Linked DNA regions of Lonchura striata. The main gene of each other region encodes a partner of the protein of the gene in region 3 in a complex. Links are inferred from orthologs where the notes say so. Each region holds a gene or a part of one and is shown on either strand. Other genes may lie near its edges. The genes, in order: coiled-coil and C2 domain-containing protein 2A, TMEM67, CEP290 and TMEM107.

What was found.
Region 1: CEP290 (region 3) and coiled-coil and C2 domain-containing protein 2A share a complex: the UniProt entries of both Homo sapiens proteins name them as parts of the tectonic-like complex. The link is inferred for Lonchura striata from reciprocal best matches to the Homo sapiens genes CEP290 and CC2D2A.
Region 2: CEP290 (region 3) and TMEM67 share a complex: the UniProt entries of both Homo sapiens proteins name them as parts of the tectonic-like complex. The link is inferred for Lonchura striata from reciprocal best matches to the Homo sapiens genes CEP290 and TMEM67.
Region 4: CEP290 (region 3) and TMEM107 share a complex: the UniProt entries of both Homo sapiens proteins name them as parts of the tectonic-like complex. The link is inferred for Lonchura striata from reciprocal best matches to the Homo sapiens genes CEP290 and TMEM107.

Annotation. Positions count from the first base shown.
Region 1 is NC_134606.1:15,063,492-15,071,367, forward strand, and holds the start of coiled-coil and C2 domain-containing protein 2A, read left to right. Parts: upstream 1-4,833; 5' UTR 4,834-4,909; intron 4,910-5,738; 5' UTR 5,739-5,746; coding exon 5,747-5,984; intron 5,985-6,749; coding exon of another isoform or gene 6,750-7,381; exon of another isoform or gene 7,382-7,487; intron 7,488-7,876. UniProt on the Homo sapiens protein: Component of the tectonic-like complex, a complex localized at the transition zone of primary cilia and acting as a barrier that prevents diffusion of transmembrane proteins between the cilia and plasma membranes.
Region 2 is NC_134603.1:24,491,552-24,499,830, reverse strand, and holds the start of TMEM67 (meckelin), read left to right. Parts: upstream 1-4,962; 5' UTR 4,963-5,061; intron 5,062-6,966; 5' UTR 6,967-6,998; coding exon 6,999-7,055; intron 7,056-8,279. UniProt on the Homo sapiens protein: Required for ciliary structure and function. Part of the tectonic-like complex which is required for tissue-specific ciliogenesis and may regulate ciliary membrane composition.
Region 3 is NC_134607.1:51,705,010-51,712,974, reverse strand, and holds the start of CEP290 (centrosomal protein of 290 kDa), read left to right. Parts: upstream 1-4,818; 5' UTR 4,819-5,065; intron 5,066-5,469; 5' UTR 5,470-5,686; intron 5,687-7,100; 5' UTR 7,101-7,157; intron 7,158-7,681; 5' UTR 7,682-7,705; coding exon 7,706-7,807; intron 7,808-7,945; coding exon 7,946-7,965. UniProt on the Homo sapiens protein: Involved in early and late steps in cilia formation. Its association with CCP110 is required for inhibition of primary cilia formation by CCP110.
Region 4 is NC_134636.1:1,519,937-1,527,386, forward strand, and holds the start of TMEM107 (transmembrane protein 107), read left to right. Parts: upstream 1-4,392; 5' UTR 4,393-4,414; coding exon 4,415-4,486; intron 4,487-5,414; coding exon 5,415-5,452; intron 5,453-7,450. Other genes in the region: aurora kinase C, read right to left, coding at 263-302, 1,908-1,990. UniProt on the Homo sapiens protein: Plays a role in cilia formation and embryonic patterning. Requires for normal Sonic hedgehog (Shh) signaling in the neural tube and acts in combination with GLI2 and GLI3 to pattern ventral and intermediate neuronal cell types.

The DNA.
Region 1 (7,876 bases), on a different chromosome or scaffold from region 3:
GATAAACCCTCTGCTGAACCCTGGCTTCAATAGGGATCTAACTTACAAAGTATGTTCTCAAGGACATAATAGAATTATAGAACAGTTTGTCTTGGAAGAGACCTTTAAAAGTCATCTAGTCCAACCCCCCTGCAATCATCAGGCACATCTTCAACTAGATCGCTTTGCTTACAGCCCTGTTCAACCTGGCCTTGAATGTTTTCAGGGATGGGGCATTGACGACCACCTCTCTAGACAACCAGTTCCAGTGTTTTGCCATCATCATTATTAAAAATGTCTTCTTTCTGTCTGTTTTAAATCTACCCTATTTTAGTTTAAAGCCATATCCTCTTGTCCTATTGCAACAGGCCCTACTAAACACTCTGTCTCCATCTTTTGCAAAAGTACCACCTTTAAGTACTGACTTTCAGCACTTCATAGGAGAGTTGCTCCAGATCTTTGATTGCCTTTGTGGTCTCTTCTGAACCTGCTCCAGGATGTCCATGTCTGTCCTCACTGAAGACCCCAGATTTGGACACAGCATTCCAGGTGGGATCTCACAAGAGTGTAGTAGAGAGGCATAAGCACCTCTCTTGACCTGCTGGCCATGCTGCTTTTGATTCTTTAGACCTGCCACCTTAACAGACTGCAACAAGGTCCAGGAAAGCTTTTTGAATGTTTTTCCAGTATTAAATGAATCAGATAACTTTAAGAACTCACTTGGAAAATCTGCTTCTGTCTTCGTTCGACAAGACAGGAGTCTGTGAAAGAGGGCAAAGCCTCCTGTGCAATGGAGAACGGCAAACCCCCCTCCCTCTGAATTACCAGGATCTTTAAATTAAAAGGCTCTCAGGCAAAGATGTGGGAATGGGAGTAACAATTCTTTACTAGGAGAAAACTAGACAACAATTTAAAAAGGCAAATGCAATCGGTACAAACAAAACCAGTGAAAAAAAAAGTCCAGAACCTGAGGAGTCGGGGTGCCAGTAGCAGTTCTGCTGGGACAATTGATCCCCTTGCAGTGGTTGATGAATTGCAGCTGAAGTGGTGATCTTTAGAAGGGTATAGTTTTCCTCTGAAGATCTGGTGGCAGTGGGGCCGGTCTTCCTCTGCGCCGGGGTTGCCTCTGAGCTCCGCCGCCGCCTCCCTGTGCCCCGGCTGTTTCGCTGCGAGATCCCGCGAAAGAAGAGAGAGCGCTGCTTCTCTGGGAATCCCGCGAAGAGAGAGAGCGAGCTGCTTCTCTCGGAGTCCCGCCCAGAGAGCTGCCTCTCTCCCCAAAAAGCTACCCCTTTATACAATAATAGAGTGCTTGGCTTCCCCCTCTGGGTGGGACCCCTCACGGTGTTACATTTACCAGCCCTGCATTGAATCAGTCAATGGCCCACTAACAAACCATTACCTCTTAGGAGCAAAACCGGTTCTTGGAAAAGATAACAAAACCTGTCCAACAGGTTTGCCTTCAACAGATGGCAAATAGAATACAAGCTTATCTTACAACCTAGGACAGCTTCAGAAACCATTCTTAGCAAACTGGTCTAGTGAAAAGTGCCCCTGCCCACAGCAGGGAGGCTGGAACTAGATGATCTTAAAGGTCCCTTCCAACACAGACCATCCCATGATTCTATGACTATAACTGATCAGCATGTCCATCATCTTCCAGTGAATGCCTTGATCTGCATTCTTCCTCTACCTAGTGGATTTGAAACTTATTGAAATGCCATTTCCTAAATGTGGAATAACATTATTCTAACTCTGAGTTTATATAATTTTCATTATTATTTTTGGTAATGGCTATGATGAAGATGTATGCTATTGTTCTGAAGAAGAATACCATGTGCTTATTCTGGCTTGCAGTTTTTGGAAAAATACACTGAACTTCTCAAATGTTGTTTTTCTCTGGAGACAAATCACTTGGCATGTATAAATGACTTTGTTTCCTACCCCAGTTTATGGACAAAAGTTTTTTATCTTTGAAAAGGACAACCAAAAGCCAAGAACAAAGTGTTATTTATGGTTCACATTCTGCCTCCCAGTTAACTCTCTGTGAACAAATATTTAACTACAACAATAAAACTATAACAATAGATGACTCCTGACAAAGTGATTTGGGAAGTCTATTATACCCTCTAACTTCTTAAAACCATGTGAACTGAAATCTCTTTGGCCTCCTAAGTCAGCCTGAACTTTCAAAAGCCATGGTCATATGTTCTTTTTCACCTTTAATGTTTCAGTGATGCTTTTAATGGCACTCACTGGGAAACAGGGGGCATGGGTTCAACACTGTTCTCCCTTCCGTGGTCTGAGGAGATTTCTTTTTTAGTTGTTTTACAAGAGACTGCAATAACAGACAGGCACCCCCTCCTTATAAGTTGACTACTGTTATGCACAAAAAAATGCAAGAGTCTGAATTCAAAGGGCAAGAGAATTCCTGATTCTCTGGCTTAATGCATGGTTTCCCAAATGTAATTTTTTGGCTCCCACTGTTGGAAGTAGCTTTCTGTGTTTCCCCAAGAATAAATTCAGGTCTGTAAACATCATCACCTCAACCATTATCATAATTTTCTCCCAAGCCCAGCTCTGTTTGCCTAACTGCAGTCCTACCATTCAGCTACACAGCCCCTCACTCCTTAAGACCCCCAACACATAGATGAAATCTCTGTATATTGTCCTCTATGCTTTCTCCATCCCAAACTGGTTCTCCAAACACCATGCCCCAGGCATCTAAGGTACATCCCTACACTCCTATCTCAACAACCATATTCCCCTCACCTTCCCCAAATGACATTTTTCCCATGGTCTTTTCAGAAATACATGTCGCAAACTAATTAATTTCCTGTAGGCACATGAGAAGAACAGCAGGGGAGGTCTGGGAGCTGGAGACAGCTTCACAAATCAATAAGGTACTGGCCAGCCAGTGACAGGAACAGCTGTGTGAAGTTTTTTACTCTGATTTGTAAAATATCCTTGACACTGGCAAAACTAGAAATTGTTGAGATTATTTTTGCCTGGCTTACATGCAACACAGTGTGGGAATATCCAGCCTACTGATTCAGACTTTCATCTGGCAAAGGGCAGGATTTTTTTCCAGTCCTTGATCCTTAGGTCATGTCTGCTTCTTATCCATCAGCTTTGTGTAAAATGCATATGCAGCTTTAAGCATGAAGTCCCTCCAAGTTGCTCCCTCCTGGCTAAGTGTTTGAAGTTTTTCTTTTCTGCAAAGAGTTTTTTGTCCCTGATTTAAGTCCCATGAAAGTCCATAAGCTTTTTTTGAGTTTTCTCAGTAGTACATCAGAGCAAACGTCTTTGTGAGGTTTGTCTTGTAGCTAACAACTGCCTTGGAGTCATCATTCACTGCTCTGCTGTATTGTTCAGCATTCATATGCTAATCCATTTGTGGAGACTGCTATGCGTGACTGTATGGTAAGGTTTTATCAAATAACAGCAAAATTAATAGTTTGGTTTCTGCCAATTTGATGCAAGATGTCTAAAATGAAAAGCAAAATATCTATCACCAAAGAGAATTTTGGAGCATTATTTCTCTCCAAAAGATTTTCGTCTTTTTAACTGCATTACCACTGGTACCATAACAGTTTCTAATTTTCCGCTCTTTAAAATAAAAGATTCTTCATAAAGACTGTGTATATGTATGTGTATATGTATATGTGCATGTATATACATATATGCTGATCATTTCCTTGCTGAATAGACCTGACCATGCCATCCTTATAGCAGCTGAAACACCATGAACTGCAAATAAATGTAATGGCTTGGGGTTTTAAATAAATCAGTTAATGTTAATCATTATCACAGAGGGGAGAATGAGAACAACAATTTCTAGATTAAAAGGCTCTGCAGAGGGATGCTGGATCAGTGGGCTGAGGCTGGTTGTGTGAGGTTCAACAAAGTGCCAGGTCCTGCAACCCCAGGCAGCACCACAGGCTGGGGGTAGAGTGGCTGGAAAGCTGCCCAGTGGAAAAGGACCTGGGGGTGCTGGTGACAGTGACTGACCACGAGCCAGCTGTGCCCAGGTGGCCAAGAAGGCCAATGGCACCTGGGCTGTCCCAGCAGCAGTGTGGCCAGTGGGACCAGGGCAGTGATTGTCCCCCCATACTGGGCACTGGTGAGGCCACTCCTCAAATCCTGTGTTCAGCTTTGGAACCCCACTTCAAGAAATCTATTGAGGTGCTGGAGCTTGTCCAGGGAAGGGCAGCAGAGCTGATGAAGGGTCTGGAGCACAGGTCCTATGAAGAGCTACTGAGGGAGCTGTTTAGCCCTAAGGTTTGGGGGAGACCTTATCACATTGTACAACTCCCTGAAAGGAGGTGGTAGCCAGGTGGGGGTCAGTCTCATCTCCCAGGGAACAAGTGACGGGGTGAAAGGAAATAATGTCAAATTGTGGCACTGGAGGTTTAGATTGAGTAGCAGGAAATCTGTCTTCACTGGTTTCACAGAAAGGCTTGACTAGCATTGGAACAGGCTGCCCAGGAAGGTGGCAGAGTCACCATCTCTGGAAGAGAAATGTGGATTTTCAAGAAACATGTGGATTTTACATTGTTTAGTGATGAGTATGGTGATGATGTTAGGTGGATGTCTGGACTCAATAATCTTATCTTAAAGGTCTTTTCCAACCTTAATTATTAGTCTGTGATTCACTGTTAAGAAAAGATAGACTGCATTTCACAAACATTTTTCTCAATCGCCCATTCTGTTTTTTCTCTTTCTTCCCACAGAAACCTGTGGATTCTGATTTCCTTGAATGCTGTAAATTAGCTCTGACAGAATGGACAGCTCCAATAAAAAAACTCACACAAATTTTCTGAGAAGACATCAAAGGAACTAGAAATAACAGCTTGACTTGAAGGTTCTCACCTGACCCATGACTGACTCTCTGCTAATGCAACACTAAATTTAAGACGCCTTTGTATATCAGGTACTGCAATTATTCAGCATGTCACTGTTTATACAGTTACTTTTCTTTAGTATCCCAGTACACAGTGGGACAGAGAAATCTAATTTTTATCCAGTCGCTTATGAAAACACCCAAATACCATATATTAGGATTTAACCAATTTTCTTGCAAGATATTGCAACACAGTTCATTGTATATGACAGCCCAAGCCAGGTTTAAAAAACTCAGCCTGATAGCAGTCCATTCACACTCCACCATCCCCTGCAGGGCAGGGCAGCTGCCTGGTTCCACCTGACAGATGAGGGTGAAGTGTTTATTTGTGCTGTTTCCAAGGGGACCTGAAGCTGTAGCTCTCTAACTGCCATCCTTTCTCCAGCTTCAGCAAGTTTCTGCTGCAGTTATTTAAGATGGAGATTAATTTGCCACCATAAGTGCAAATTTCAAAATGAAATGAAGGTGTAAGCTTTATCCTCACTAACTCCCTGCAGCAAGAAGGGTTTTATCTGTAAAGTTTATATAGGGACCAAAGACAAAATACTATGCATTCAAAGATCTTTGAATTGAAAAAAAATCCAGATTATTTTTTCACATGTCAACATTTGGCCCCAAAAAGCTGATATTCACCAGTTACACTATGTCAGTCTACAGCTACTTACTTGAAAGACAAACAGCAACATGTAAGGCGCCCAGAAAAAGCTCCAACCTCACACTTTCCTCCTTGCCTCCTACACGGATTTTGGTAATGCAGAAATTTCAGGCTGAGGTCTGCACCTCTACTTGTGCATAATGCATCACAGTGTCACGCTTATTTGCATATGACAAGAGTGTCTTACTAAACTTTTTTTTCCAGATCTGAGGATGTTTGTGTTGCTGTACATTACAAGTTTTGCCATCTACACAAGCGAACAGCCTCTTCAAAGCCAGACCAAAGGAGAAAATTACTACACCAGATACATCTGCAGCATCCCAGGTTTGCCAGGCCCTGCCGGCCCCCCTGGAGCCAGCGGATCCCCGGGGCCTCATGGACGCATTGGTCTTCCAGGAAGAGATGGCAGAGATGGCAGGAAGGGAGAAAAAGGTGAAAAAGGGAGTGCAGGTACTGATTATTTGTGTAACCTAACACAGTAGTGCAAGAAAACAAGACCTTTCATCATCACTGTTATCATCATCACTATATCTATCTATCTATCTATCTATCTATCTATCTATCTATCTATCTATCTATCTATTTATTTATCTATCTATCTATCTATCTGTTTATCTATCTATCTATCTATGTATATATAGGTATATATATATCTGTATATTTATATAGATGAGTGTGTGTATGTGTCTGTGTGGGTTTAAGTGTGATGCATATATAAATACAGTAAGAGTATGCACATATATCAGTGTAAAGAAATGTAAATGCACAACCTTTCTTTGCACAGATGCTAAGAAAAGATTTGGAAAGAATGAAGCATGCTTGGTGCCCCACCTGTGCCATTAGCCAGTTGTTAATAATTAGAAGGTTCTTAGGTATGCACTAAAAATGCTCTATTTTTAGGAAATATTTAGCACACAAGTATAACTACGTAGGTAGTCATGCTGCTGTCCCTGCCATCAGTAGTGCCTGTTAGTTCAGGCGGCAATAGACTGATTACATATAACATTCTTTAATGTGTAATCAAGACACATGAAGATAAGTAGGAATTACTGGCATTCCTTTTTCAAACTTACTAGAAAACTTTGAAAGTATTTCTAGATATTTTGAAATTCTGACCATGTTTTTCTTGTTTGTTCAGGTACACGCAGTAGCCCACACAATCATTTACTGAGGTGATATGTATTAACGATTAACTAACTTAAAATGTTTTTGAAGGTTTAAGAGGAAAGACTGGGCCCTTAGGACCAGCTGGAGAGAAAGGAGACCAAGGTCAGTCTGGTAAGAAAGGACCTGGAGGACTGACTGGTGCCAAAGGTGAAGTAGGTCCAGCTGGACCACCTGGACCTAAGGGAGATAAAGGAGACCGAGGAGAGCCAGGTGCACCAGGGGTCTGCAAGTGTGGAAAGATAGTGCTGAAATCTGCCTTTTCTGTTGGCATCACCACAAGCTACCCAGAGGAAAGACTACCAATTGTATTCAATAAAGTCCTCTTCAATGAGGGGGAGCATTACAACCCGTCCACAGGGAAGTTCATTTGTGCCATCCCAGGGATTTATTATTTTTCTTACGATATCACCTTAGCCAACAAGCATCTTGCGATTGGGCTGGTGCACAATGGCAAGTACCGGATCAAGACTTTTGATGCCAACACCGGCAACCACGACGTTGCTTCTGGATCCACAGTGATCTACCTTCAGCCAGAAGATGAAGTATGGCTTGAAATCTTCTACACTGACCAAAATGGTCTCTTTTCTGATCCAACATGGGCAGACAGTTTGTTTTCTGGATTTCTCTTATATGTTGATACAGACTACCTTGATGCTTTATCAGATGAAGATGAGCTCTGAAGCAGATGTCAAATGACATTCAAACTGGAGGCCCCAGCATAGGATTTTATTCATCTGTGTGGGGAAAACAAAGTTGAAATGAAAAAAAAAATCTCTGGGTGTTCATTCTTGTTTTGATTGGAACCAAATCTGAGCTCGTAAGAATGTTCTAGAACCTAGGATGGATTTTTTTTTTTTTAACGAACAGCAGGGATATCAAAATGAACTGTAATGAACAAAAGACTGCATCACTCCAGGACTGATTCTTTCCTAAAATTACATTTATAATACTATTTAAACAAATTTAAGATACTGTACATTGGATTTGATATAAAATGTATTATTTTGCATTTTAGAATGGTTATTTTGTATATTACATTAAAGTAAAATTGAACAATTCACTGCAATATCATTGTTGGTCATTTTAAGATGGGCAATGCATTTAAAACAGATAGGAGAGGAATAAAATAGGAATCACTGCTTCAGGATGCCACTGCACAGGTCACAAGACCAGTC
Region 2 (8,279 bases), on a different chromosome or scaffold from region 3:
TATCAGTTCTGTTCAATAATGTATGTTTTCTCAGCATTCAAAAATGTTGTCTCTTTGGCGTAGTCAGAGTATTAACTGCAGTGGCCACAAGCATATCTTAGTTGCCAGCCACTAGTCTGTGAGGAAAAAAGGCTGTGTATGATCTTGTCACAATACTCAGTGAGAAGTGTTAAGCTTTTGACAGCTTACCTGTTTCTGCTTTGGAGACCTGATAAATTCTGTAAAATCAACTTAACTGTGGAAAGAAAATGAAACATAATTAATGGCTGATACCTGTAATTTGCTTTACACACTGTGCTACACTGTTGCAGCCCATCCATAGCAGTGGCTAATACTAAAGCCAAGCATATTATGAACCCATGTGAAGAACTCCTTCCATGTTCCAAGATGCCATGCACCACATCTTTCTGTTTCCATTATAGAAGAAAAAGAAACTCAAAATTTAAGTTGACTTCTGGAAACGATGTAAATACGATGAGATTACTTGGTCTTCAGTTGTGCCACACTGAACTGTTGCAATGAAACAGTCTGACAGAGTATCGAGAGAACAGTTCTCAACTGAGTTCTTGAAAGGTGCTTAGGTCCATCTCAGGATTACACGACACATCCATTCTTCTGAAATCCACCTGGTTTCAAACTTCACAACAAGAGTATGCTACTCACCAGTCCAGCACATACACAGTGAAGCCCATCAAATGAGAGAGCAAAAATATCCAACAAGGAGAAACTTCAGGAAGTACTTGAATTTACAAAGCCAACTGCAGTATTTTCCATAAATCCTTACTCTACTGCCTTTCAAACATAAGAACAAGACATCCTGATTTTCAACATTTTCTAACATCACACAATACATAGGACAATATTCTCAGAACAACACAAGCCTCTGTAGCAAATGACTACATCCCTTTAAAATAAACACAACAGCCCAATTCTCCAAGCATTTGAGAACACTCCTGCAAACCTTGCTCAATAAAGTACTAGATCCTATCAATAGGATCTACCTATCAATGAGTTACCTACCAATAACCATTACTGTCACTCCACCTGAACGTAGCAAAACAAGAGCAAAGCCCAAATACTGTCACTAACGAACTCCATGTCACTTCTGCACCAGTACTCTGTAAGCACAACAAACCGAAAACAACTGCCCATTTAGAAACTTCACTAAAGACCATCTGTTCTCTGTACTTTTGTGGCGAGTCGACCCCAGCCATCAGCCAAGCACCCACACAGCTGATTGTTCACTCATCCCCATCAGCAGGATGGGAAAGAACAAAGTCAAGAAAACTTGTGGATCAAGATAAAGACAGTTTCATCAGTGGAAAGAAAAACACAAAACAAAGGAAATCAGTCACCACCTCCCACAGGCTGACTGATGTCCAGCCTTCCTTCAAATAACAACTGCTTTGAGAGCCAAGAAAAAACCTCCCAAAGAAACCAAAACCATTAAAATCCTTCTTCCTCTACCTGTTTTTTTTTTTTGCCCAGCACAACGTTACATGTCACAGAATGTCCCTTTGGTGAGTTTGGGTCAGCTGTCCCAGCCACGTTCCCTCCCAGCTTCTCACCTACTCTGCGCACATTCACTGCAGGAACGGAGAAGGGAAATTGATAAGGCCTTGATACTGTGCAAGTGCTGTTCAGCCACAGTCAAAACACTGATGCGTTGTCAGCATTCTTTTAGCCACAAATCCAAACTGAACTGTATGGGTTGCTGTGAAGAACGTTAACTCCATCCCAGCCAGACCCAGAACACTTTATAATGTGTCTTCTCAACAGATGCAATGACAGTGCCAAAAAAGCATGGAGAATTCAAGAGCAGCATTTTCATACAGCACCTTCATGTCTTGATAAAGCAAATCCGCTGCCCTGCTACTTCATGATGTATTTAATCTGTAGTACTTCTGGATTAACAACTCCGCTTTCATATCCCAATTTTTAAGCAAAATTCACAACAGCTCTCCTCCATAATTCTTCGGTGATAAACAGCAAGTTCTTGATGATGAACCAGAGATACAATACATAACCTTCAGTGGTGAAGACCAGACACAGTGGTCCCAGATCAAAATGGGACCTCCAAGAAGTCCATAAACAAATGCAAGTTCAAATAATAGCTCTTACTGACTGTATAGTAAACCATCACATACAGACAGAAAGCACAGACAAGCCATCCAAGTTTAAAGAGCATAACCTAAAAGAGTTGACTTGTCATGAAAAGTAAGAGCAATTCATTAACTGAACAAGGACTTCAGAGAGCAAGGATTTGGAGAATAAATAAACAACTTCATGCCACAGCTTAAAAACACAGAAGTGTACAGTTTTATGAAATTTTATATATGAGTAAAATTGGCTAGAAAACAATACAATGCCTATTCTTCCACAGTTTCAGGAAATTCCAAACATTAAAGCCATTAAAATACTTCACAACTTGTAAACGCGGTAGGAAACTAAGTCTGCACTAGACTAGGATTTTTATCATAACACTGAAAGATTAAACAGACTGCAAGCTAGAAAGAACACCCACAGAACCATCCCGTCTATGAAACTGGACCAATATAGAATAACCAGCGAAACGGGATGGTTTCTTATTTTGTACTTCAAATAAGTCTTAATAGAGGAAGCAGTCTGCTGCGAATAGCAGTTTTCACAGTGCTGAAGGAAAACACGAGTGAGCCCTGCAGCTGAGCCTGCTACACGATCGAATGTAGCACGGGACCGCTCCCGAGCCAGTCGCCCCGCCGGCACCAGCGCTGCTGGAGACCCGGGCGGGCGGCCGGGCCGGGAGCGGGCGGGGGGCACGGGGCGAGGGGCACGGGGCGGGGGGCACGGGGCGAGGGGAGGCCGCCCCGCGCCACACCCCGTCACGGCCGCCGGTGCCCCGCCCCCACGCAGACGCCCGCCTGCTTCCCGACACCGGGACAGGGCGACGGGAAGCAACGCGAGCGGGGAACTGTGGTGGGAAGCCCAGGGACACGAGAAGGCCGGGGCACACGGAGCAGCCGCGCACCGGTTCCGCGAGGGTCGGGTAACCGAGAACCAGCAAACTGTGCGGCGCCCTCGACCACACGTCGCACCCCGGGGAGGCGTGCTTTGTCCCTCACGCCATCCATCCACGCACCCACCGGACACGCCGCTCGGACGGGCCCCGCAACTCCCGGCACGGCTCTGCCAAGATGGCGCCGCCTCCCCTGCCCCCCCCAACGCTGAGGGGAAGCGGAGCTGCGCGAGCGCGGAGCTGCGCGCGCACCCTCCGGGCAGGGCGACTCCGCCCCCTCCGCTGCAGTGCGCGTGCGCAGGCCGCGTGCCCCACCGGCGCGCGGGCGCGAGCCGCGCCGCAGGCAGTGCGCATGCGCTCTCCGCCCCGGCGCGGGGTGTGCGGTGCCCGTTTAAGTCGGTCTGAGGGAGCTGTGCAATGATAGATCGCTGTGTCTGTGGATAGGCACAGTGACAGACCTGCGCGGCGACAGAGCCGTGTGTAGAGATCGGGCACACGGTGACCGAGCGCCGCCGCCGCACGGTGCGCTGTGCTCAGGCTCGTTCCCGTCGGGGCCGGCGCGTGCCGCGCCTCAGGCGCCCCTCACGGCTCTTTGGATGCCTGGACACGATTTGTAACGCAGCTCGGGGCTGGCTCCTGCCTGGGCTGGGAGAGGAAGGGAAGGCAGGGATGGAGGAACGGAGGAGAAAGAGGAAAGGTTCAAGATTAAGTAAAGGGAAGGGAAGAGGCCGAGTACTTTGGTTGTGCAAGCGAGGTATACTTATCCTAATGTTTATCCTACCTGCCTTCTCTGACTTTACGTTCTTTGTCTTTTTATGTATACCCAGTACTTGTCTGCTCCATTTTATGTAGGAAAAACATCCCTGTGCTGTTTATGGTAGATTCACCTAGAAATGTTACCGACTTTAGGATGTGTTTCAACACGGATAGTCTCGTTTAGAAAAAAGACATTGTTTATTTTGTGCAGGGTACAAGGTGGGGGTTTCCACAAATCAAGCACACCACTAAGAAGTTATGTCTTTACACAATCAAATTTACATGAACGTGAGCCTAGGGACAGGTAATTTGATTTGAAAACATAAACTCAACCTTTTAATAGTTGTTGAGCCAAGAAAATAAATCCAGTGAGAAACAAAACATGCTAATGTTGAAAATCATAAGGCGACTAGCACGCAGGAGAGGCACAATGAGAAATAACTAAAATCCAGGACACAGTGTGTTGCAAAGTTTTGGTAACAACTGAGGGAATGAGACAAAAGGCAACAGGCAGAAACCTGCAGAGAAAGCTCCACCTGAGCGTGAAGAACTTCACTGCGCGGGTGCACTGGAACAGACTGCTCAGAGAGGCTGTGGAGTCTCCCTCACTGGCGATACTCAGGAGCTCTGGTCACAGAGCTGTGCCATGTGCTCTGGGATGATCCTGCTTGAGCAGGCAGGTTGGACCAAGCCCCCCGCTATGGTCCTTTCCAACTGGACTCATTCTGTGCTTCTGTGGGACGTGAACAAGAGTGTCACAAAGGTATAACAGTAACACTGGCTGAGCATCCACTGCTCTCGGCATTTTGTATTTTCACCTTGTTACCCTCTCTGGGGAGAAGTTACAAGCACCTGTTCCATTTGGATGATGCACTGTGCATCAGTTCAGGAAACGAGGTACCGGAAAGTGCAAACCGGGCCGGGGTGTCCTCTCGTTTCTGGCTCCTGGTCCCGCACAAGACGCACAAAACTCTCCGCGAGCCAAACGCATCAACTCCGGCCGCCGCGCCCTCCTTCGCCGCGCCCCGCGGACGCTTCGCTTGTTGCGGCGGCGGGCCCCCGGCGCTCGCCGTACCGCGCGGCTCTGGCCAATGGGCGCGCGCGGGCGGCGCGCGCGGTGGCCATGGCGACGCGGGGCCGCGGGGCCGCCGCCGCCGCGCTGCTGCTGGCGCTGGCCGCGGCGCCGCGCCCCGCCCGCGCCTTCTCCGTCCCGCTCCAGCGCCCCGCCGACTGCGGCGCCGACCGCTACTTCGACAGCTCCCGCCTGGCCTGCGCGCCCTGCGGGGCCCACCAGCGGCAGAGCGCCGGCGGTGAGCGGTGGGGGAGGCGGGCTCGGGCGGCTCCGGCTGAACCCGTCCCCAGCAGCGGGAGGTGCTCAGCCGGGCTCCGGCCCTGGCGCTGGAACGCGCCCGAGGGCGGCTCTGAGACAGCCGCGATGTGTCCGAGATACAGCTCAGAGAAATTACTTTCAACCTTTTTCTAATAACCTTTCTTTTCCTCGAGCGTTATATTGTATTTGCATTTTCATCTGTGAAATTCTACAGGACCCTGAATTTATGTTCTCGAGCACTTCTGTACCTTGAAACTCCTTGTCAGACTTGAATGTCCGAGATACCAAGTGTCTGAGATCCTCAGGCTGTGCCTGTTCTAGTCCAAGTCCCACACGGGAACTTGGAGCACATACAGCACAGCCTGACAGTACTAAATGGAAAATACAGGTAGTTGGCTGCTTTCTTTTGGCCATAAAGAGGTGTTAAGGGGTTAATCTTTCATAAAATACACAGTCCAACAAGAGTAGGAGTTCCCTGTGTACAAATTTGAGACTAAGACCTGACAACATCTCTGTCCAGAGCTGGTTGTTTGGGTGGAAGTAGTGATGGGCAGGGCTGTGTTCACAGCTGCTGCCTGAAAACTGCTCACCTTCACCACCACCATGAACCCCATATTTCACTTCCTGGAAGAAAATACAGTATTTTCAGATGCCCTGATAACGAGGGTGCCTAGATCCTTAACTCCTTTTTAGGCTGAATCTTCCTCTAAATAAAGGGCTTCAAGGAGAGGAAAATTCCAAGGAGAGGTCAAGGGTTAATTTTTTCCTGTAGATGTAACTGGAGCAGTGTAGGTAGGTGCTGCTCAGTGCTGTTTGCATCTTTACTGAATTCCACTTGAGATTGCCCAATTCCACTGGCTAGCCCAAGTGGAATTGGGCCATCTTGGCTAGCTCATCAGTCTGGATTCTGGTGTTAGGTCACATGCCTAAAAATCTAGGTATTGTCACTGTGAGTGTCACAACTCAAACTTTTCATTTATCTAATCCAATTGGGCTTTTTCTTCTTTAGAATTAAGTAGAAATGTTTGATCACTTTAACAAATGTTTCTGTACAGCTGGTCTCATTAGAATGTACTTTAAAGTGATAAACTTCCCACAGAATTTGACATTATTTTTGCCTGCACAGTTCAGTAAGCTTCAACAATAGAAAAAGTTCATTAGTACATATAATCAATTTTGTTTTCTGCTATGTGTTTAAAAATACAGAGGGAAATTCATTACACTGAGAGAGGGAAAGTTTCTAAAAAAACTGTTTAGCACTAGTAGATGGGCATTATACTGTTCCATTAAAATAGTGTTTAATTTCATACAAAATATTAAGTATTTTTTGTTCACTCACTGGAAACCATTCAATATAAACCTTGATCCCCATGCACAATTTTAAAAGTCTTGGGTTTAAAACAGTTTTTCATGCAACAGTTGTATTTTGAAAAACCTTTTCACAGGAACACATTTTGGTTTTAGGGCTGACTTCAAATTGAAAAAGTAAAACCTACATAAAAACACGTAATGTGTTTTATGTTGTAGAGGGAAAGGTTGTGGCAAGATTTAATGGAGAGATTATATCTATTACAGACCAACTGGTAAAATTTGGTTTAATTAAAAAAAAAAAAACAAACCACAAAATACAAGCTCTGGGTCCCTGTTCCACCCTGGTAGATCAGAGGCCGTGTAACATTCTCCTAAAACATCTATGTGCAAACTGTAACATCGGCGTTTTTTAAAAAGCAGGATGATTTTCATTCACATCTCACTCAAGTGTTTTATGTCTCTAATAATCCATCTTGATCTCTTGAGAACAATAGTATTTATTCTTAGTATTCTGTTGCAACCTGTCAGTTCTATATAGCTTAAAAGTGCATTTGTTGTTTTTTTTTTCCTTCAGGTAGTTCCTGTGAATGTGAACCAGGATACAGGATGGTTTCTAGTAATGATGGGTTCTCTGTTACTTGTGAAAAATGCCCAGAAAATATGGTAAGTATTGAATGTTTCATGTTTGCCATAATGATAGAATACAAATCATAATCATTATGGGATATTAAATTTTATCCTGACTGCAAGTTATTTTTCATTAATTTAAAATATTTTTGCATAATAGTCTTTCATTGGGAATTTTTAAGAACATGCTAATATGTAGTATTTTTTTTCAATTTAGAGTTGTCTATTTCTATTATTTTGTAGGCTTTTTTCATTACAAATTTGGCCCCACAGACAAAATAATAATTTTTTAAGCATTTAAGTTCTTTCCACTGCTTTTCTTCTCTGCTTTGTCCTTGTCTAGAGAGCACAACTCTATACCTTGTTAAAGATGCTTTTCAGCTCATAGGTATCTTAACTGATTATTTATGTAAATACTATTACTGTAATATTTAGGCTGTATCTTCATAATCCAGAATATTTCATCTTCTTACTTCAAAATGAGCTGTTCCTACTATGTTACTTTAATTAAAATTATAGTTTGATCAGTTCTTCTGACATTCCTTGACAAATTAAGTTATAATTTTTTGTCATAATCTCAGCACTGATCCCGAAACAGCAGGCTAAACCAGATTTTCCCCACTATAGTAAGCAAAGAAATGTATTTTTCCATCAAATCAACATTTGAAGCATTCCTGAATACTTCTTTCTCTTCAATAGCTATAGAAGAACTCCCAGGAGAGCAGCTTACTTGCCTGAGTTAGGTGTTCAGTGGCTAATGGGCTATGTTGGTAACCTCCCTTTTCTTTCCATCTTCTTGCTGTGTTAGACAAAGACTTTGGCACATATCCTTTCGTGTTGTGATCTTTTGCTTTTTTTTCCACTTTACTGCTATGGTGGCATTTGCCTTTGATCTGCTGCCAAGGCTTTTGCAAAGATAAAATAGTCATAATGGAGAAGGGAGTCACATCAGTAGCGCTTGAGGATGAGCAGTTGTCTTCATTCTCCTCGGTGTTTTTTATCTGTAATGCAATTTCTTCATGGTATATAATCAGTATGGTTGTGAACTGTCTGGATAGGTACAAAATTCCAAACAATTATATAAGCTGTTTCACTTGGAACTCTTCCATTTCCATTACTTCTGTATATTTGTATGCAATTGCAGTATGCAATTTATATGCAAAATGTATATTATGTTATTCAATGTATCAGTGCATTATTATGTTTATTCAATGTATCTCTTTTTAAACATTCTACTTTTCATTTTCCCTGAAGGATGTA
Region 3 (7,965 bases):
TACCAAACTTGGTAACCTCTAAAGCATCACACCACACCACTCTCAAATTTTATTTGTGTGCTAAAGCACTAGGACTTAAAAAGCAAGAGGCATAATGGAAATCTGTTAAAGCCCCCATATTCAATCACTCTGCTTCCAGGCTAAGCACAAAGAGAAAAATGGAAAATGTAAGGCCATGTAGAACTTGTAGATTGCACAAAATTGCAGCACAGGTACTTTACTACTTCTGACTTGCATTCTGGCATTCTAAGGTCTTATTTTCTTGAAATGTACCATAATGATACACAGAGTTACGAAAATTACTTTTTTCCACCTGCTTTGATTACAGGGTACTTTTAATGCTTTTGCTGACTTAAAGCATAAATATGGAATAAAAAAATTGCATTCCTTTATGTTAGCATAACAATGCAGATTTTGAGCAAGTCTTGCCATCAGAACTACCACCTCCTATCTGCTACTGTAGCTGGGTCCACCTTCACACTCCAAACTCCAAACCTGCAATGATCACCAACATGTTGAGAATGCAAAACTAAAGCAGAGGTTTATAAAAGATCATCTGTACTTGGTAAGCCAGGCGAAAGTATGACTGCCATTAAACTCAGTGGAAAACAGCAACTGCTTCTTGGCAACCAAAATTGCTTTCACACCAACCAATCTATTATCAGTTTGATGTTGGAAAGTAAGAAGCCATGTAAGGAGTATATAAGACTGAGATCCTTGCAAATCACAGACGTGCAAGAGGCTGCTGAAGCCTTGATATGACTGGGCTGCTCACGTGAGTGGAAATAATTCTCCTTCTTATACCCAAGTGACATGCTGATCAACCCAAGTATGGTCTTGCAAGTGCCAGAACTTCACATCCAGTGATGGATGTATTTGATAAACACCTGCAAAATGTTGCTTAACAACTTCTTTGTTAAAAGAGACTTGCTGCAAGGGTGAACTGCCCTTGTTCCACATCACTGCCTAGTCCTAAACATGCAAACAGACTGAACATCCCTCAGGTTATTTTTTCATCTCACCTACCTACTACTTTGACAGCTTCTAAGACTGCCCCTCAGATACCTTAACCACCCCTTGGGTATGACTGCCAGCTTTTGGTCTAGTGCACAGCCACAGACTGGATGAAATCAGGACAGACATACTATATTACAAAGACTTCTATTGGATACTTTAATTTACAACAATATCTGACCATCATGAAGAATATACAGATGAAAACAATGAACAGCAAGGTAAACCTTGATAGTCAGAAAATGCACTGTAGTCATCAGAGTCAACTGCAAAAGAAAGAATACCCAGGCTGCAAAACAGCCTATCATTGGACTAAATTTCTGAGGCTGTTTGGCACAGAAATCTGCACTTTGCACTGCACCATTTTCACATTTGTACAGAGACATTAAATGGAAAGGACAAAATAGAACCAGAACTCTCAAGTCCATTTGGCTCATAAAGTACATAGTTTTCCTGTTCCAGCTTCTTGAGATCAATCTAATACTTCACGCAGTCTTCAAGAATAACAGACAAGAGTAAAACGTAAGAGTCTCACAAAACTGAAAAAAAGCACCGAGAAAAAACAAAGTAACAACGACCAAAATAGTCAAAGCACTTTTAGAATATAAGAAAACACAAACATACATTTAAATTTGTTTCTTCTATTGAGTAATGGCACTTGCATGGATTGAAAGGCATTAACAACGTGCTAAGCCAATTTACTAAAGAATAATGAGGCAATACTGGATATTTATGTACTAGACACAAACTTTATTCATCACTGAAGGTTCTGAACTGCTTAGAACATTATTTACAGTTCACGCAAAAAACCTTCAAATTATCAAAGGTGATAAAGTTAAAAGCTGTTAAAACCACTCCTAGGGTTACTTTTATTTTTAAATAGGTGAGCAACTATTTTTAAACAGGTGAGCAACTAGTTCATCTAAGAGCTGGTAGCTGAACATCAGCAGAGATATATACAAACCGCTGGTACAGTCACTTACAAATTAGGATATTAGCACAGCCTCAGAAGCTGAATTAAAATGATATTTTTATTTCCTACTTGCTAGCCTTTGCTTATTTTTGCCACTTCCAAGACACAACTCCAATATGAAGCAACTTAGATGCACAGCTGAGATTGGGCTTGAATCTCATCTAGAAAACAAGTATTTGGAAATATGAAAGGAGAAATAATACAAAACATGCCTGAATTTCCTTTTTATCTTGCTGAAATCCTAAACCAGGATAAATATTACACGAAAAGTTTTATTGTGAAAACCTTCTGCAAGGTTTTCACTACCAGATCAAGAGGCATGGGACTACTAGGAAATACTCTTCACTATATAGGAAGCTCATGGCCTCCAGCCTTCTCTTCACATGGTTCTGAAGGATTAATGAGAAGAGCACTGGAAGTTCTGATACAAAGTCAGAACACGTGTTGCAAGCCAGATGAAAGATCTCCCACTGGAAAAGAACTTGCTGGCCACCTGGCGGCTGGACTAACAGTTGTGACATCTTAGGTTACTCTGATGAAACAAGGACCAAAATGTAACACAGTTTAAAATGGGTGAGACAAAGATACTGATTTAGCTGGTGGTTTATCTTCAATTTGTTCAATGTAACTGGTACATGCCACTTGAAATATAAACCACACAGGTCTTGCTTGTACTTTAAGGACTTAGAAACTTAAATTAGTAACAGAATCTCACATTTCAATGTTAAACAGTAGCAAAATAATACCCAGTCTGTTTAGTGACTACATAAAACATCTTTTGTGGCCTTACTGATACAAAAAGTGTCTCTAAAATAACACTTATCGCTCTCAGTGTTCCAGAAATGCAACAGCAGAAACTGCTTGCTTGTTTACTCCAAAGAATAAATGAACAAAAGCTACATGTGAGGTATAAACTGAGAACACAGCCTTTAGACTCTGCTACTCTGTCCTTACTTACGCTGGGTCTGTATACGATTTCCTCCGTACTTTAAATAACATTCCATTAGGCTTTTCAGGGTGAGGTTTTTCTGTTAGGTCTTTGCAAGGGCACACTGTTATCAAAGCTGTGATTTAACAAGTATGCCTAACTCTTCTAACAGAGTAGGTCAAACCGCTCACTGTGCAGTTGAATTTATTTATTGGCTCCAGAACTGTAAGTATCTAATCCCACTAAAAGAAGATTCACTTACACAAAGTTCATCATATGAAGTGGTGCAAAACATAAGAAAAACTAATTTACTTGGTCCATGCCATGCTGTATTTTGAATATTTTCATTTTCATTTGGCATTAATACTTCAATTCCTTTTACTGTTTTTTAACTTTTGGAGTTCCCATGCCAGCTTCAAATCCAAATACCTTTTACTTCTGCACCAATGGTCTTTACTAGCTGCACTACACAATTGAAACCCAGATATGGTTTCACTACCAGTAAATGTAATAACATGCTCTCTGCTGATTCTGCAACAGAACACTCAAAAATGCTGATGCATATTAAATAAAGTACATTAAATAGCTACACTGGCATTAACAACTGGTTATGATGATGATGATTTTAAAAAAAACCTCCTATACAGAAGCATTCTAGCATCAATGGAATATTTTCTCTACCACAGAAATATTCCTTTCCTGAAGGCTTAGTTTGTGACTAAGGTGACATTATTTTCTGTGTCACTTCCTATACCTATAAAATTCCCTGCTACTAAGAAATCATTGTTTTACACTTAATCATAATTAATTTTATAATTTTTTAATTTTTAGTAACATTACCCATTCATTAAATATACCCAGTCTTCTTCCCTTCCCTAAGTATACAGTTTGCTTTCTGTACCTAATACAGAACTATAATTATCCAACCCCTAGCTGAGATATGGAAGTCTTTGGAGTTGTGCTGTGACTGGAACAACTGCATAACTATAAGGAGTGCAAGGCATTTTGCATCTTGTCAGTCTCTAGTAAACATCAACATGGATTAAGAGATAGCAAAACAACTGAAAACAATTATTAATCCAAAAAAAGGACGAAAAAAAAAGGACCTTTCTCTTACCATTAAAAAGAAACAAAAACCCCAAATCCACTTCAGCTCTCCACAGCTATTGAAAAAACAAATGCAAAAAGATAAACACGCCTACAATGGTACTGTTTTTATTTGATAAGATGTTTTCACACCCATTTAACTAAAACACAGGATCCCAAACTTCCTCCGTTATCAGACCACAACCAAAACTCAGACTTGCTGGCTAACAGTACCCAATGGATTCAAGTAGTTTATAGGTGTGATTTTTCCCGTGCCTTCCGGCCCCCACTGTTCCCTCCGTATTCCCAAAGCACAGGCGCACCCGGGCAGCCGCCGGCCGGGCAGGAACCGACACGCTGCCCGCAGCTTGGGGCGAGGCAGGGAAGGAAAGGGCAGGCTGGGCGGCGGAGCCAGGGCGCGGTCCCGGACGCCGCTCAAGCGCCGTGGCAGCGGTCGGGGCCGCCCGGCAGCGCGGCAGGCGCGGGTGCCCAGCGACGCGGCACGGCGGGCACGGCCGGCGGACCGAAACCACCGCGGGCAGCAGCTACACCGGACCCCTCCACCCTCCCTTCCTCCCCCCATCCCCGGCAAGGCCCGTGGCGGGCCGCAGGGGCCGTGCCCGCCCTACCTGAGGCCGGGACAAACACCGGGACCGGGACCGGGACCGCGGCCCCGCCGCCGGAACCGACACCCACCGCGCGCGCCGCCGCCGCCGCACACGGCGCACGCGCGCCGCGCCGCTCTCCGCCCCCTAGAGGCTGTCGGGAAAAAGGCGGGCGGTGCGGTCGGCCCGGATGCATGCCGGGAGCTGTAGTCCCGTAGACCCCGCCCGGTGGCGGGGGCGGCGCTAGGGGCCGTTGCCCCGGCGAAGCGGCGCTGTCGGCGGGGATCGCGCCCTGCCCGCTTGGCTGCCCATCGGGACCGGGAGAGCCCGCTTGGCGCCGTGGGGCTTGTCTGTGGGTGCCACGGAAGCGCTGACTTTCCCTGCGCCCACGAGTATCCGGATCTGCGGGAGAGTCCGATGGCGTCGCCTGGCAGCGGCCACCGTCATCCCCCGGGAGCGGTGAGGCCACGGGGCGGGGGGTGCTCCGGGCAAGGAGACCGAAGCTGCCGCAGCCCGAGCGGCCCGCGCTCCGCCGGGAGCCCCGGGCCGGGGGCGGCGGGGCTCTCCGCTCCTGCGGGCCCCGGGCGGCGCGGGCGGCGGAGCCCGCGGCTGGAGCGACCGCCGCGTCTGCCCGCGGCTGCTGCTCTGCGCGCCTCGCTGCGGGGGCGAGTGCAGAATAAGGCAAACTGTTAGTTCAGTAGAGCTGCGATGAAACGGGGACAAAGCTGTCTCAGCAGCATCCTGGAGGGATCCCGGGCTGTCACTGTATCCTGTGTCTGGGGTATGCCAAACAGGAAACAATGGGAACCTGCGAAGATCCTCTCTTGATTGGGGTTTTGTAATTAAGATCTTGTGCTTCGCAGAGCTACTCCGGGTAAATGCAATTTGAAAGTCGAAAGCAGCTTAAACTGGAATACCCAGTGTAAACAAATGCGGAGTTAGCAGATCACATCTCCCGCGTGACTGTGGTGCTTCTTGATGTTAAGTCTCCCTCCTGTGCACATTACTCTGCTGCCCATTATACACACCCTGGTGGGAAAAGGTCAGCTCTTCCCAGTGGTGCTTGATCTCACTGCAATGGTAAGATATTTCCATGTGAGCTTGGCTCGCGTGGTTTCCTGTAGTCAGACCAGGGCACTGTTGTTCTGGTAGTACTTGAGCATACCCTCCAGACTTCCTTTTCCATCTAAGTCTGCTGAACTTTATCTGGCCGTTTTATGTGTGCTTAATTCCCTGGATAAATCCAGAAAATCTTGTGGTAACTAATACCAAATCCCCATCTATTTCACACATTTTGTAGACCCATGAGCTCAGCGCTTCATCACATGGATCATCTGTTTACTAAAACCACGGGTTTTAGTTGATGACAACAGATGAGCAAAATGATGAAAAACTTTTCACTTAAATAAATTCTTTCACACTATGTATATACTGTGGAACATAATCCGTGCATAGGTTGTGCCCCCCTACTTTACTGTAGCTGCTCTCCCACCAAGTTGGATTCAGTTGTTTATGTACAATTCAATTATGTTTTATCCTTCTGGATAAAACTTTAGGACTGATATTTTCTTAGGACATTATTTTGTAAGCTAAGGGGAAAAGATATATGAAGAGATGGAAGGTAGGAAAGGATTAACAGTAGTGAGTTTGTGTGTTTGCTTTCAGAATAGTTTTGATTGTTGAGCATTTAAAAATCCTAAATTTTACATCTCATTACTTAAGAAAAAATGAATGTGTTTAAGACTTTTGATCCTTAGACAAGTATGTTGCTGAAATCAAGTAGTATTCAGTTAACTGAATGAGTCAAAGTGCCAGTATTCTCCTTGGATTATCCTTTGCCATTACAACAAAACAGAAAAGCAATAATGTATACAAGGTGTTATCCTTGTGAAGTCATGGGTTGAATATAATACATGTTATATGATTAGCAAATATTGAAGAAATTTAGTAAATATAGGGGACCTTTCAAGTAGTTCACATACTCAGAAAGGATGAAGGTTTTTTTTATCCTCCATTAAGTGTACAGTTGTATTTCTGTGACAGCTCTTCTTTCGGAGTGCTTAGACATATTTGTTTTGGAAAGTAATATCAGTTTCAGCCTTTTATTAATGAAGGAGGTTTCAGTTGTTGAGTCTTTAAACTGCTGAATGAGGAACAGGGTGTGTGCTGGATCAGATCTCAAAATGCTGTATTCCGTATACAGCATTGCTGAAGTTATTGATTGAGCTTGATTTTTTCCTATAAAATATATACCCCTGCTGTGTCATTAGTTTTTTTGAATAATACTGCATTTACTATTGTAGTTAGCTTTATTTCTTTCTTAATTTTTATTAACCATTTGTGCTATAATAATAATTTAGGGCAATAAGTCGATTAAATATATTCTGTTCTAAATTTGGCAGAATTTACTTTTTGAAATATTGATCAGAAAGTCTAGAGACAGCTCCAAAGAACAGAATAATCCAAGATTTCCTATCCCTTCTGCCTTTTTCAGATACTGCATTGACTTTCAGGTATGTGAGAAATCACTGTGGCCCACAACAACCAGTAGGTAAGCAGTAGAAAAAGCTTTACACCACTTTCTGATGAGATTTTTCTCAGTTTCCAGGTTTATTAATGTCCTTTGTCAATTCAAGTATTCTAACCAAAAATAAATGTTTAATACAATGTCAAGAAGTTGGTGCTCACAGTATCAAACTGAAAGTGTTGTGTTTTAAATATTAGAGATAATAATTCTTGTGTTTGTTCACTGGCATAAAAATACCAAATTAAAAGATAGGGAAGAAAACAAGGATATTGAAGTTAACATACAGGTTTCATGTGTGTCCTGATCTTCACTAATAGTTTTAAGAATTCATTGAGTACGGATGGTGTAATTCTTAACATAAAGAAAAAGTATTTTTATTATAGCCTCCTAGATTGCAATAGATCAAAATGTGAACAGAATGTTGATCAGTGTTACAGTTATTAGAAGTCATCTGGTGTGTTCAGTGGCCAGCCTCCATTAAATCATTTGACCTAAAATTGGTTTGCACTGATAATACCTGATAACTGTTATTTTAATCTTTGTTCCAGGAAAAAAGAAGTCATACCTTCAATATGGCACCTGTTTTAGATTGGAGGAAGCTCATGAAAGTTGATCCAGATACTCTGCCTCATCAAGAGGAGCTAGCAGACAGATTGCTGGATATCATGGTCAAGGTGCTTGAGAAGAAGGGAACTTGAGGGTTTTGTTGTACCTTCTTCCCTAAACCATTTCTGGTCCTTCACATGCATGAAAGATTTATTTTGTGTATTTCATTGATATTAGTGTAAAACCACTTTTGTCTCTTTTGTTAGGTTGATGGGAAGGACTTAAA
Region 4 (7,450 bases), on a different chromosome or scaffold from region 3:
GGGGACACGGGCAGGGGTCACCCCAAAAATACCCAAAATTGGGGAGGGGTCACCCCAAAAATACCCAAATTTGGGGAGGGGGACACGGGCAGGGGTCACCCCAAAAATACCCAAAATTGGGGAGGGGGACACGGGCAGGGGTCACCCCAAAAATACCCAAAATTGGGGAGGGGGACACGGGCAGGGGTCACCCCAAAAATCCCAAATTGGGGAGGGGTCACCCCAAAAACCCCAAATTGGGGAGGGGGACGGGGGGTCTCACCTTGGTCAGGCCGGGGGCCACGTTCTCCTTCTGAGCCATCCTGGGGAGCACGGAGGGTCAGGGGGACCCCAAAATCCGGCAGGGACCCCCAAAATCCAGTGGGGACCCCCCAAAATCCAGCAGGGACCCCCCAAAATCCAGCGGGGACCCCCAAAATCCAGCAGAGAACCCCCAAAATCCACTGGGGACACCCCAAAATCCATCGGGGACCCCCCAAAATCCAGCAGAGAACCCCCAAAATCCAGCGGGGACCCCCAAAATCCATTGGGGACCCCCAAAATCCAGCAGGGACCCCCAAAATCCAGCGGGGACCCCCCAAAATCCAGCAGGGACCCCCTCTGGATCCCCCAGTTCCCTTCAGGACCCCCCAAATCCCATCAGGACCCCCAAATTTTTCTCATAAATCCCCCAGGACCCCCCAATTCCCCCTCAAGACCCCCCAAATCTCCCTGCAGGACCCCCAAATTCCCCCCAGAAATCCCCTCAGGACCCCCAAATTCCCCCTCAGCACCCCCAAATCTCCCTGCAGGACCCCCAAATTCCCCTCAAGAACCCCTCAGGACCCCCAAATACCCCTCAGGACCCCCAAATACCCCTCAGGACCCCCAAATACCCCCCAGGACCCCCAAATACCCACTCAGGACCCCCCAATACCCTCAGAAATCCCCTCAGGACCCCCTAATTCCCCTCAAAGCCCCCCAATTCCCCCCAATAACCTCTCAGGACCCCCCAATTCCCTCAATATCTCCTCAGGGTGCCCCAAATCCCTTCAGAAACCCCCTCAGAACCCCCCAGTTCCACTCAGAACCCCCCAATTTCCCTTAGAAATCCCCTCAGCACCCCCAAATCCCCCCTCAGCACCCCCAATTCCCCCTCAGGACCCCCAATTCCCCCTCAGGACCCCCAAATCCCCCCTCAGCACCCCCAAATTCCCCTCAAGAACCCCTCAGGACCCCCTAATTCCCCTCAGAAACCCCCCAGTTCTCCTCAGGACCCCCCAGTACCCCCCTAGGACCCCCCAATTCCCTCAATATCTCCTCAGGATTTCCAAAATCCCCTCAGAAATCCCCTCAGGACCCCCTAATTCCCCCCAGAACCCCCCAATTCCCCCCAATAACCTCTCAGGACCCCCCAGTTCCCTCAATATCTCCTCAGGGTGCCCCAATTCCCTTCAGAAACCCCCTCAGAACCCCCCAAATGCACTCAGAACCCCCCAGTTCCCTCAGAAATCCCTCCAGAACCCCCAAATCCCCCCTCAGGACCCCCTAAATCCCCTCAGAACCCCTCAGGACCCCCTAATTCCCCCTCAGGACCCCCCAATTCCCCTCAAGAACCCCTCAGGACCCCCTAATTCCCCTCAGCACCCCCCAATTCCCCACAATAACCTCTCAGGACCCCCCAATTCCCCTCAATATCCCCTCAGGACCCCCCAATCCCCCCTCGGGACCCCTTAATTCCCCTCCAAACTCCCCAATCCCCCTCAGAAACCCCCTCAGTTCCACTCAGAACCCCCCAACTCCCTCGATATCTCCTCAGAATCCCCCAATTTCCCTTAGGAGCCCCCTCAGGACCCCCTAAATCCCCCCGGGACCCCCCAAATCCCCCCCAAATCCCCCCAAAATCGCCCCCAATTCCCGCCCCTCACTCGCCGCCCGCCGCCGCCGCCGCCGCTTCAAATTTCCCCCGCGCGCTCCCATTGGCCGCCGCCCGCTCGCGCCGCGCTCCCATTGGTCCGCGCCGCCTTCATCCCCGCCCCCCAGGACGCGCGCCGCGCTCCCATTGGTGAGCGCCCCACGAATCCCCGCCTCCCCAGCGCGCGCTGCGCGCCCATTGGTCGATGCCACGCGAAGCCACGCCCCCCCACCGGCGCGCCTTCACCCCGCCTCCCCCACTCGGCCGTTCCGCCCACCCGCGCGTGACTCGCCGCTGATTGGTCGCTGCCGGAGAGGTGAACGGCCAATCAGCGCGGGGAACGCGCGGTCACGTGGGGAGGCGGCCATTTTGTGCGCGGCCGTTCAGCCCGGCAACAGGGGCGGGGCCAAGAGGGGCGGCGGCCAATCAGAGAGCGGGGGGGGCGCGGGGGACCAGTACGGACCAGTATGCACCAGTATAAACCAGTATAGACCAGTATGGGCTGTTATGGATCAGTTCAGACCATTAGGGACAAGCATAAACCGGTGTGAGGCACTGCGGTTTAATACAGACCAGTATAAACCAGTATGAACCAGTACAAGCCAGTATAAACCAGTACAGGCCTCTGTGACCCAGCCCAGCCCAGTATAACCCAGTATAAACCAGTACAGGCCTCTATGACCCAGCTCAGCCCAGTATAACCCAGTCCAGCCCAGCATAACCCAATATAAACCAATCTAGCCCAGTATAACCCAGTATAAACCAGTATAACCCAGTATAAACCAGTACAGGCCTCTGTGACCCAGCCCAGCCCAGTATAACCCAGTATAAACCAGTACAGGCCTCTATGACCCAGCCCAGCCCAGTATATCCCAGTATAAACCAGTACAGGCCTCTATGACCCAGCCCAGCCCAGTATATCCCAGTATAAACCAGTACAGGCCTCTATGACCCAGCCCAGCCCAGTATAACCCAGTATAAACCAGTACAGGCCTCTATGACCCAGCCCAGCCCAGTATATCCCAGTATAAACTAGTACAGGCCTCTGTGACCCAGCACAGTCCAGTATAACCCAGTCCAGCCCAGTATAACCCAGCATAACCCAGTATAACCCAATATAAACCAATCTAGCCCAGTATAACCCAGTATAAACCAGTATAACCCAGTATAAACCAGTACAGGCCTCTATGACCCAGCCCAGCCCAGTATAAACCAGTATAAACCAGTACAGGCCTCTATGACCCAGCCCAGCCCAGTATAACCCAGTCCAGCCCAGTATAAACCAGTCCAGCCCAGTTTAAACCAGTATGCTCCAGTATATCCCAGTATAACCCAATATAAACCAGTCCAGCCCAGTATATCCAAGTATAGCCCAGTATAACCCAGTATATCCCAGTATAGCCCAGTATATCCCAGTATATTTCAGTATAACCCAGTATGTCCCAGTATAACCCAGTATAGCCCAGTATAACCCAGTATAGCCCAGTATAACCCAGTATAACCCAGTACATCCCAGTATAACCCAGTATAGCCCAGTATAGCCCAGTATAACCCAGTATAACCCAGTACATCCCAGTATAACCCAGTACATCCCAGTATAACCCAGTATAACCCAGTATATCCCAGTATAACCAGTACATCCCAGTATAACCCCATATATCCAAATATAACCCAGTATAACCCAGTACAACCCAGTATAACCCAGTATATTTCAGTATATCCCAGTTTAACGCAGTGTAACCCAGTACATCCCAGTATATCCCAGTATAACCCAGTATTTCCCAGTATTTCCCAGTATATCCCAGTATAACCCAGTCCAGCCCAGCATCCCCACCCCAATCTCCGGGAGGGGGCGTGGCCACTTTCCGGTGGGCGTGGCCTATCAAGTGGGCGTGGCCTTGGTGGGCGTGGCCTGTGTGACGGGCAAGCTTTGGGCGCGGCGGTGGGCGTGGCCAGGGCGATGGGCGTGGCCAGGGCGGTGGGCGTGACCAGGGCGGTGGGCGTGGCCAGGGGCGGTGGGCGTGGCCAGGGCGGTGGGCGTGGCCTGCTCCGTTGCCGCGGTAACAGCGCCGCGCGGGGCGGGGGGAGGGGAGGAAAACGCGGGAATTCCGGGGTGGGGGAGGGGTCCCGGGGGAGGGGGAGGGGTCCCTAGGGTGGGGGAAGGGTCCCCAGGGTGGGGGAGGGGTCTCGGAGGTCCCGTTCTGGCCATTTGGTGGGGGGGAGGGAGAGCGCGAGGTGGGGGAGGGGCTAAAAAAGCGGGGGGAGGGGAATGAGGGGGTCCCATGGGTGGGGGAGGGAAATGAGGGGCACCCATGGGTGGGGGAGGGGAATGAGGGGGTCCCATGGGTGGGGGAGGGAAATGAGGGGCACCCATGGGTGGGGGAGGGGAAGGAGGGGGTCCCATGGGTGGGGGAGGGGAAGGAGGGGCTAAAAGGGTGGGGGAGGTGCCAAAGGGGAGGGGGAGGGGCGGTCTAAGCCCCTCCCCCTCCCCAGGCCCCGCCCCCTGCCTCGTTCCAGCCAATGGCGTTGCTGCTGCCCGGGCGGTTCCTGGCGATGGTGGCGCACCTGGGCATGCTAATGAGCATGGGCGGGGTCAGTGCATGCTAATGAGCATGGGCGGGGTCAGTGTATGCTAATGAGCATGGGCAGTGTCAGTGCATGCTAATGAGCATGGGCGGGGTCAGTGTATGCTAATGAGCATGGGCGGGGTCAGTGTATGCTAATGAGCATGGGCGGGGTCAGTGTATGCTAATGAGCATGGGCGGGGTCAGTGTATGCTAATGAGCATGGGCGGGGTCAGTGTATGCTAATGAGCATGGGCGGGGTCAGTGTATGCTAATGAGCATGGGCGGGGTCAGTGCATGCTAATGAGCATGGGCGGGGTCAGTGTATGCTAATGAGCATGGGCGGGGTCAGTGCATGCTAATGAGCATGTGCGGTGTCAGTGCATGCTAATGAGCATGGGCGGGGTCAGTGTATGCTAATGAGCACGGGCGGGGTCAGTGTATGCTAATGAGCATGGGCGGGGTCAGTGTATGCTAATGAGCATGGGCGGGGTCAGTGCATGCTAATGAGCATGTGCGGTGTCAGTGCATGCTAATGAGCATGGGCGGGGTCAGTGTATGCTAATGAGCATGGGCGGGGTCAGTGTGTGCTAATGAGCATGGGCGGGGTCACTGTATGCTAATGAGAATGGGCGGGGTCAGTGTATGCTAATGAGCATGGGCGGGGTCAGTGTATGCTAATGAGCATGTGCGGTGTCAGTGCATGCTAATGAGCATGGGCGGGGTCAGTGTATGCTAATGAGCATGGGCGGGGTCAGTGTATGCTAATGAGCATGGGCGGGGTCAGTGCATGCTATTGAGCATGGGCGGGGTCAGTGTATGCTAATGAGCATGGGCGGGGTCCGTGCATGCTAATGAGCATGGGCGGGGTCCGTGCATGCTAATGAGCATGGGCGGGGGCAGTGTATGCTAATGAGGGTGGGCGTGTCTTGTCCTGACCCCGCCCCTTTCTCCAGGCCCCGCCCACGCTGCCCTCGGGGGAGACAGAGCCGGGGTGAGTGAGACCAGTTCAGACCAGTACAAACCAGTATAGACCAGTGTAAACCAATATAGACCAGTACAGACCAGTATAAACCAGTATAAACAATTATAGACCAGTATAAACCAGTATAGACCAGTATAAACCAGTATAAACAATTATAGACCAGTATAAACCAGTATAGACCTGTATAAACCAGTATAGGCCAGTAAAAACCAGTACAGACCAGTATAGACCAGTACAAACCAGTATAAACCAGTATAAACAATTATAACCAGTATAAACCAGTATAGACCAGTATAAACTAGTACAGACCAGTATAAACAATTATAGACCAGTATAAACCAGTACAGACCAGTGCAGACCAGTATAGACCAGTATAAACAATTATAACCAGTATAAACCAGTATAAACCAGTATAAACCAGTACAGACCAGTATGGACCAGTGCTCCCACAAGGGTCTCTGGGGGGAATTTTTTGGGAATTTTCCGGGGGAATTTTGGGGAATTTCGGGAGGATTTTGGGATTTTTTGGGGGGATTTTGGGGTTATTTTGGGGGGAATTTTGGGGATTTTGGGGTTTCTCTCACCCCTTCTCCCCGCAGGTTCTGGGCGGGATTTTTGGGGTTATTTTGGGATATTTTGGGGGATTTTTGGGGTTATTTTGGGATATTTTGGGGGGATTTTTGGGGTTATTTTGGGATATTTTGGGGGATTTTTGGGTTTCTCTCACCCCTTCTCCCGCAGGTTCTGGGGGGATTTTGGGGTTATTTTGGGATATTTTGGGGGGATTTTGGGGTTTCTCTCACCCCTTCTCCCGCAGGTTCTGGGGGGGATTTTTGGGGTTATTTTGGGATATTTTGGGGGATTTTTGGGTTATTTTGGGATATTTTGGGGGATTTTTGGGTTTCTCTCACCCCTTCTCCCGCAGGTTCTGGGGGGAATTTTGGGGTTATTTTGGGATATTTTGGGGGGATTTTTGGGGTTATTTTGGGATATTTTGGGGGGATTTTTGGGGTTATTTTGGGATATTTTGGGGGGATTTTTGGGGTTATTTTGGGATATTTTGGGGGATTTTTGGGTTTCTCTCACCCCTTCTCCCGCAGGTTCTGGGGGGGATTTTTGGGGTTATTTTGGGATATTTTGGGGTTTTTCTCACCCCTTCTCCCCGCAGGTTCTGGGGGGGATTTTTGGGGTTATTTTGGGATATTTTGGGGGATTTTGGGGTTATTTTGGGATATTTTCGGGGATTTTTGGGTTATTTTGGGATATTTTGGGGGATTTTGGGGTTTCTCTCACCCCTTCTCCCCGCAGGTTCTGGGCGGGATTTTTGGGGTTATTTTGGGATATTTTGGGGGGATTTTTGGGGTTTTTTTGGGGATATTTTGGGGGGATTTTGGGGTTATTTTGGGATATTTTGGGGGATTTTTGGGGTTATTTTGGGATATTTTGGGGGGATTTTTGGGGTTATTTTGGGATATTTTGGGGGGATTTTGGGGTTATTTTGGGATATTTTGGGGGGATTTTGGGGTTTCTCTCACCCCTTCTCCCCGCAGGTTCTGGGGGGGATTTTTGGGGTTTTTTTGGGATATTTTGGGGGGATTTTTGGGGTTATTTTGGGATATTTTGGGGGGATTTTTGGGTTTTTCTCACCCCTTCTCCCGCAGGTTCTGGGGGGGATTTTTGGGGTTATTTTGGGATATTTTGGGGGATTTTGGGGTTATTTTGGGATATTTTGGGGGGATTTTTGGGGTTATTTTGGGATATTTTGGGGGGATTTTTGGGTTTCTCTCACCCCTTCTCCCGCAGGTTCTGGGGGGGATTTTTGGGGTTATTTTGGGATATTTTGGGGGATTTTTGGGGTTATTTTGGGATATTTTGGGGGGATTTTTGGGGTTATTTTGGGATATTTTGGGGGGATTTTTGGGGATATTTTGGGGGGATTTTGGGGTTTCTCTCACCCCTTCTCCCGCAGGTTCTGGGGGGGATTTTGGGGTTATTTTGGGGGGAATT